2 linked regions of the Alligator mississippiensis genome follow. The protein of the gene in region 1 purifies or fractionates together with the protein of each later gene. This does not show direct contact. Links are inferred from orthologs where the notes say so. Each region holds a gene or a part of one and is shown on either strand. Other genes may lie near its edges.

Region 1 (3,921 bases):
GTGCACAGCTTGCTGGGGCCTGCAGCTGCCTGGGTGCAGCTTGGCTCCCCTCACCTCCAGCTGCAGCTCTTCCTCCTACACTGACTGCACTGCTCCAGGTGGGGAGGAAGCTTCAGCCAGGCAGCTCCTGCCCCAGCATGCAGGGATCCGGCTGACTTCCACCCACTCCACCCGACTGAAGCTTGCTTCCTGCTCGGGGCAGCACAGCAATAGGAGGAGCCACTGCTAGAGGCTGAGCAGCACCCATGTGGCTGTAGCCACATCTGGATTAGCCCTGTGGGAAGCTGCGCATGCTGGCCTGGCCTGGGGCTGGAGTGAAGCACAGGCTGGCCCAGTCACAGCTCAGCCCCATCTGGAGCACCACAGGGGCAGCCACAGGCTGGGTCCAATCAGTTGGCATGTTGGATCTGGCCTGCGGCCCATATTTTACCTCCCCATTCTAAATCCTTCACTCCACAGGGGTTAGTGACCCTTTATTAGCCATCTTAATAGTCCACAAAGCAAGCTACCCTTTCATCTGCAATTCTGTCATCTCTAGCTGCTCCTGGTAGTGTAGCTACTACTTCATAGCACTGTGGACGGCTTGGACTCTACCTAAAAACAGTAGCTCAGGTATGGAAACATGAATTCAGGAGAACATTAACTCAGGCATGGAAATAACGTTCAGTTGAAGCACCAGATGCACCATCAAGATGCTCATAAAGGCTTGATTTTGTTTTATGGCTCTGAGATACTTTTAATTCTTAATGACTACAAGACTAAAGAAACAACATCTTCTGATTATTTCCGCTGAGCTTTTTAATATATAATATGTGACACAGCAAATGAATGCACGTCAGTGAAGTTAGGTTTGTTTTTGCTTTCATCTTAACCTGGAATAATACAGCCCCAGGCCCCTAGGATATCAATAACACTTCTAGCTTCTTCCCCTTACCTGGGGAAAAAAGTGTTGTGTTGTGCTTATATGTGACAATACACCACACCATCTGCCCATCTCCCTCAACCCCCTTTTGCCCCATTTCAAAATCCGAGATTCCCCGAAGCAGGAACGGACCCAATACAAGATTTCACCCCAAGGCATCCTGGCCACCCTGTACCCCAAAATAAAAGTGAACTCCTTGCCCTAACCGCCTATTTGGAAATGCCTTTTCTTTTTTTAAGCCACCCCATCAAACCCAAACCTGGCACTGTAGAGGCAGAGGTGGCCAACAGGCAACCTGGGTGGCAGCCTGCTATGGGTCAGGAGCCAGAGAGGGGTGGGGGCAGGGAGTAAAAAGCTGAGCAGCAGACTGGGCAGGCAGCAGAGACAGCAGGCAGCAGGAAGTGGAGCAGTGGATCACACTGGGAAGGGAAAGCAGAACAGCATACTGGGCAGGCAGCATGTCAGGACAGGGACACCAGATCACTAAACGCACCCCGGGGTGAAAGGCGCGGAAGCCGGTCCCGGGTGCGGGGCGGCCCTTCTGGCCCCTGTGCCGCGCCGTAGCGGAGCTGGGCGGGGTGGGGCGGGACATGCTGCTGCCGCTGCGGCTGTTCCTGGCGCGACGGGGGGCGCTGCTCCGGCTCTTCCCGCTCTGGGCCCCGGGCCCGCGGGCGCCGCCGTGCAGTGGGGGTGGGGCGCTGCGGGAGGCCGGCCGCGTGCTGGGCCCGGCCCGAGCCATGGCGCTGCCGCGGGAGGAGCCACCTTCGCCGCCGCCGTCGCAGGGTGAGGAGAGGAGAGGGTGGGGAGGGTAACTCCCAAGGCGCATGCGCAGGCGGAGGGGCGGAGCCCCATGACATCACCGCCCTAGGGGGCTGGAGGGAAGGCTCCGCCCCCGGGTCCCACCGCCGCATATCGGAGGCTGTTCTGCCTGGAGACCGCACGTGGGCGTGTCTCCCGGTCTGTCTGCTCGGCTCGTCTGCCACCGTAGAGATCGGTCTGGCTGTGCCTGCCCTGCCCACCCCCGATCTGCCCAAGTGTCTGTCTGTCTGTCTGTCGCCTACCCGACTACAGAGCAATGTCTCTGCCTACCAGAGAGTCCGTGTGGATCTAGCAAACGAGAGCTGTAGCGATCCAGCTGCTGACCCACCTGCCTGCCAGACTATCCATCGAGCGGTCTGTCTGTCCATCTGCTTTATCTGCCTGCCAAAGTATAGCTCGGCCTGTCTGTCTGTCAACCGAAATATGTTTGTATGTGTCTGGTGATCTGTCTGTCTACTGATCTACCTATCTACCAACCAAAGTGTCCTCTGACCTACCTACCATCCAGCCCAAGTGCTGCTTCGTCAATTAGTTGTTCTGTCTGTCTGCCATCTGCCAAAGTATAGATCAGCCTGTCTGTCTACCAAAGCACCGCTGTCCCTGTTTACCAAAGTATAGTTATATTTATCTAATAAGCCTGCCTACCAATCAAAGTATAGATCTGCCTACCTACATACCTGCATATCTAAGTCTGTCTAAATATAGAGCTATCTGTCTATCTACCTACCGAAGTATGGGTATAACTATCTATCAAAAGATCGATCAATGGATCAATCTACCGACTAAAGTATAGATATGTCCATATGAGTGTATGTGTATGTGTGTGTATTTTAACTGTTACTTTATGAAATCAAATTGTGGCAATACTAAAAGTGTGTGTCTATATCAGACACTTTTAGTATTGTCACAATTTGATTTCATAAAGTAACAGTTAAAAGAGAGAGAGAAAACTTTGTTATGATCTGCCCTTGCCAGTAATGCCTTAATGCCTAAAGTGAAGTTAATGCTTAAATAATAAAAAGTTCTACCACTGGCTATGAGAACTGATGTGGGATCCAGGCCCCCAAGTAGTAGGAAAGGAGATGACAAGCACTTGAAAAGTAGAAGAGTTGTGATTAGCTAAAGCAGTGGTGCTCAATCTACTTTGGTTAGTAGATACCGAAGTGGTTATAGCTATATATGTGTATGTATATGTATATGGTTAGAGCTATAGCTATAACCACTTTGGTATCTACTAACCAAAGTAGGTGCAGATCTTTCTCTCTCTAAAAAAGAGAGATACTGAAGTAGACATAAGTATAGGCATAGATATAGATCTATACCATACTTACCCAGATCCAAGACAATCCTGAATTTAAGACAGTCCTCCACCAATAATTAGATTCTAGACATAGAAAATGTGTTACTTTGTTATAATTTTTCCATGTATAGAATCTTATTAGTGGAGCGTCATCTTAATTTTGTCCTCAGCACCACTGCAGTGGGCAAAGCAGTCAGGCGGTGGCAGATGGTAAGTGGGGACCAGGGTGTATAGAGCCAGCGGGGGCAGACAGCAGCCATGGCTGTGGTCCCAACAGAGAATCACAGCAGCTGCCTAGCCCCGGTGTCCTGCCCCCTTGTAATGGGTTCCAAGACAAGGGCCTTTCCCCCCTTCTCCCATATTAAATGGTATGGGGGGAACCTTGTCTTCGAATCAAATAAATACAGTAGGTGTAGATATAGATTAGTATATAAGGTTAGTCTATAAGGTGCAAATCTATCTTGCCTTCTATTTGACTTCAGACTAACACATTAAACTACGTGGTCTCTTGCCCCATCCTTATTAACAAATTGAGGTCTGGGTGAGCGGAGGGAACTGAATAACTAACTCCTGCCTGTTTTAAGTCTGCCTTACCTCTCCAGAAACACTTTTATTCTCATAAATTTTGTGTCAGATATGATTATGATAGATTATAAAACATATTGTTTTATCATTAAGGAATTAATTGCATTTTTATGTCCTTGATTTTTGGTTTGTGCTGCCATCAGGTTTTTGATTTGTGCTGCCATTTGGTTTGTGTCACCATTGTGTCAAACAAAGGAGGACTAAGGAGGTCTAGCCTACTTGATGACAAGGTACAGGTATTTTTGGGCAGTGTCTGTACATGAGTTTTCAAAGCAGTAAACTTGTTTCCTAAACT
Region 2 (3,921 bases), on another chromosome or scaffold:
AAAGGAGGTGTGGATTGTATTGGAAAATACATGGTAATACATTTTAGATTTTTATCAGTTTTCTGTTTTTTGATCCTTTAAGGATTGTAGTTTCAAAAGTTATTCTACAACCTTTTATAACCTGAAAAATGAGAATTCATATAATCTCACTACTCTTGGAGCTGGAGCTCCAATATTATGAGGTAGTTTGGTGATTGGGATCTTGTGTCTATCCATTCATGTACATTGGGAGCTGGATGGGGGGAGCAATGTATCATGTATCCATTAGTAAGGCCCAGAATCCACTAGCAGCAGTCATCCAGTGTAGTTTTTTTACTCCATAAGTGACCTCATTCACAACTTGGTTTTTGCAGCAGGGTAAAACTAGAAGGTGTAAGCAGTAGCTTTGTAGAATCTTGTTCATGTGGGCAGAGGAAATGATCAGTATTTTACTTCAGTCTGGCCTTCCTAAACAAAAAGAAGAAAATGGTGCTTTTAATACATACCATCAGTTATTTTTAACACTTAGAAAATGTGAAAATGTGGACACCATAGCTTAATATAATCAATTAACTATAATATATGATTCTGGTAAGACTGCATCTTAATCCTGTGAGGGAAATGGAAAACTTGTCCTTTGTCTTTTTCCTGTAATTCATTTATTTTTAGATACATGGATAATAACCAGTTTTTTTAAATATTACCTGGTTTCTGATTTTTGTCTCTGTCATAAGGCAGACTGTATATTTTAATTATTTCATCATATTTTTAGTTTTTAAAAAAGCTGTTGAACTCCAAGTTTAAGAAAAATATTAACAGCTCTTCTAATCATCACCTTCAGCTGATAGGAAGAGGTTTTTGCTAAGAAAAGCTCCATAATGTGCAGTTTAATATTAACAGGAAGTAGAACAGAAGTAGTGGTTTCAAAACACTGCATACAGGAAGTTTGACACATGCATACTTCTTAGCTTCTGTGTAAGTTGTTCAGCTCCTTTTAGATGTTTTGTGTTGGTTTTTTTTCTGGTTTTTTTTTTAAAGTAAGTTGTCAATGTATATAGATGGCAAGTCAGAAGGAACTGGCTTGTAACCAGTGCACAGGAACAACTACAGCTCTACAGAGACTGGAAGGCTTTGCTAATCGACTTTTTCATAGGCAATCTAGGGGTGCTGTTCATGAACAGAAAGTGGCTCTGGAAGATGAGAGCCATCATTTCTCTGAATTCACTGCCTTGTGGGACAGATCAAGTAAGTGCTTTTAGACACTTGAGGTTCATTTTGCATAGTAGTATGAGGAAATTTGCAAACAAACATAAATATGCAGTATAGAAACTACCATATAATGCAGCAATCTTTTCATAGCTTAACAGTTAGAAATACTACTTTAAAGAAATAGATATTTTATCATGCAGGTGGAAACATGGCATTGTTTCAAAATATTGGGTTTTGGGGAGGAGAGTTAGTTGCTTGCAAATTCCCTTTTCTTCTAGGCAAATGTTGTTGACTTGCTGGAATTTTTTGCAAACTTTTTTTCTTTCTGGCATTTGTTTGTCATTTCTTTCTTTAAGATGTAAATTTGCAAGCAATAATTGATAGCTTTCCTGTTTTAAAAAATGTTCAGGTGTGTTTTGGTGTTTAAGGTAGGATTTTTTTTTAATTCTGAAATTTTGGAAAGGAAGGACATTATTTTATGTTGATTGGGTCATTAAGTAGAGGGACACTTGTCCCTTGTAGTGCAGCTTTATTTTTAACTGAAATTTAAAATTCATTTTAGAGTGCTTATTAAAACATTAAACATCAAAGCAGTTCAGTGATTATTATTATTACAGATTGTTTCACTCAACTTTGATTTATAACTTTGATTATTGATACTGTTATTTCATAATTGTTCATTTGTACTGAGAAAGGGGTGTATTTATCTGTGTTACATAAAATGTGCTTGATTAAAATGCACAAAACTTGATTCCAACAAACATCATCAGTTAAGTAAAAATAATGCTGCTACTTTGTACATATTTACTTAAATTATTTGTTATTAGAAATGTACATACTTATCTTTCATCCCCATATTTCTGAAGAAGTGAAGGTGAGATCTTTTAAAGATTTCATAGTCCTAGTAAATTATAATGACATAAGTCTAGCTCTTACATACTTGCTTCTATACAATACTTTTGTATATAATTAAGCATGTATATCTGCTCAATATTACTTTATTGTAAGTAATGAATCATAATCTACACATTTTATATATTGCAATATGGTCATGGCATTTAATTTCATATCTGAATTTGCAATGAGTTGGAATAACGCAAGCAGTTACTTCTATTGAAAATAACAGACATAAGCAAAATGTGTGCACTTCCTAGTATTATAAGATCTCTGCAGAAAAACATGCCTGTTGTGAAGCTAAAACGTTGTCATTAGTGAGTGGTCCAACCTTAAAGGGTGTATATTAAACATGGAAAGTGGAAGGTGTTTCATATACCTACACTAGATGCAATCTATGTTTCCTACCTGAGGTACAGAGAAAGCACCTGGTTTTATGAGACAGTCAGCCATCAAGGAGAGTAAAGGGGAAACTGCATTAGGGAAACTGCATGACTTGAGACCCCTGAAACATTTCAGCGCAGCTTTATACATAATTTGTAAACGTATTTTTTCCTTTTCACATCAATTTTAATGGGTTTCTTTAAAATGGAACTTTTCCCTCTCTGTTATTGCACATACGTGAAAGGCCTGGTTAGAGATGTATGGGGTTGGAGGTGGCTCAACAGCACTAGTTCTCAATATTTTTAGACTCAAGGTACCTCTTGGGCAATACCCTACTCTTGGCTTTTGTTTGGGTTTATTTTTGGGGGGGGGCGGGTTGACTGCAGAAAAATAACAGCAATTCTGTCGCAAAGAACTCAGACCACAATATGTCAGAATGTTTCTTATTCGAATTCTTGGGTTTATCGTGTAGATTGTGTGTAGATGTTTGCACCCTTAACAGTGCTAATACTGAGCAGCACCCCATGATATGCTTAAAAGGATCCTGTGGTATTCTGAGATTGGCTTAACCTTTTTGCACTGCAGGCCAAATGGGCAGTGCCTGGTCTGTCCACAGAGACAAGGGGACATGGCCAGCTGTGCAGAGGGCAGGGGTGTGGTCTGGCCCCTATCCAGCTGTACATGGGAGAGTGAGGGAAGGGAAGGTGGGGTGGCCCAGCCATGATCCAGCTTGATCCAAATCCTGGACAGGCTCCAGTCTGGCTGCTCATGGCTAGCCTTGCCAAATTTCCCAACCCTTGGGGAGCCTTGCAGGCCTGATGCCATGTCTGCAGACCAAGGTTGGCCTGTGGGCTGGGGGTTGAGCGCCCCTGCTCTACAGGAACCATGCTTCTATTGAGCAAGGGAAGCAGTGGGGAGACTTACGGCATTGATTCTAGCGTCTGAGTTCTCTAGGGCAGGCAGAATCCTGATATTTTTTTAGATGGAAGGATAGTCTTGTCATTAATGCAGAAAAATTGGGAATGAAAAAAGATAGGTCCATTTTGGGCTGCACCATGAATTTTACATGGGAATAACTACGTCATTTAAACACTTTCCTGCTTTCCTTGTGAGGCTTAGTTTGCTAATGTATTTGGTAGGCTCAGATGCTCTGGAGATAAGTATAAAGCCCTATCTGCTTGACAGAAGAGAAGATTTGGAGAGAGATGGTCTAGAATATAATGAAGCGTTGAGCCCTAAGATCCCTAAACATTTCTGTATCCTAGTCCACGAAATCTACATGTTTTCACACCTTGACAGGGGGTGGAGAGGAGCGGAAATACATTCAGGAGGCACAATTTAAAGTTTTCAAGAAGTTGTCCTAATGTTTACAAGACTGAAAAATACTGTAGCACTGTCCTTTGTTCAACTGTATAATAAAAACCAAAACTAAGTATTGGCCTATTGACATCTACA

The links.
Region 2: the proteins of AKAP7 (region 1) and PRKACB purify together in Homo sapiens (affinity purification with mass spectrometry; 4 studies listed by BioGRID and IntAct, counting the BioPlex papers as one, with this or other methods). This does not show direct contact. The link is inferred for Alligator mississippiensis from reciprocal best matches to the Homo sapiens genes AKAP7 and PRKACB.

The regions. Positions count from the first base shown.
Region 1 is NC_081824.1:113,910,676-113,914,596, forward strand, and holds the start of AKAP7 (A-kinase anchoring protein 7), read left to right. Parts: upstream 1-1,522; 5' UTR 1,523-1,659; coding exon 1,660-1,705; intron 1,706-3,769; exon of another isoform or gene 3,770-3,856; intron 3,857-3,885; exon of another isoform or gene 3,886-3,921. UniProt on the Homo sapiens protein: Probably targets cAMP-dependent protein kinase (PKA) to the cellular membrane or cytoskeletal structures.
Region 2 is NC_081828.1:27,867,927-27,871,847, forward strand, and holds the start of PRKACB (cAMP-dependent protein kinase catalytic subunit beta), read left to right. Parts: upstream 1-1,022; 5' UTR 1,023-1,037; coding exon 1,038-1,224; intron 1,225-3,921. UniProt on the Homo sapiens protein: Mediates cAMP-dependent signaling triggered by receptor binding to GPCRs.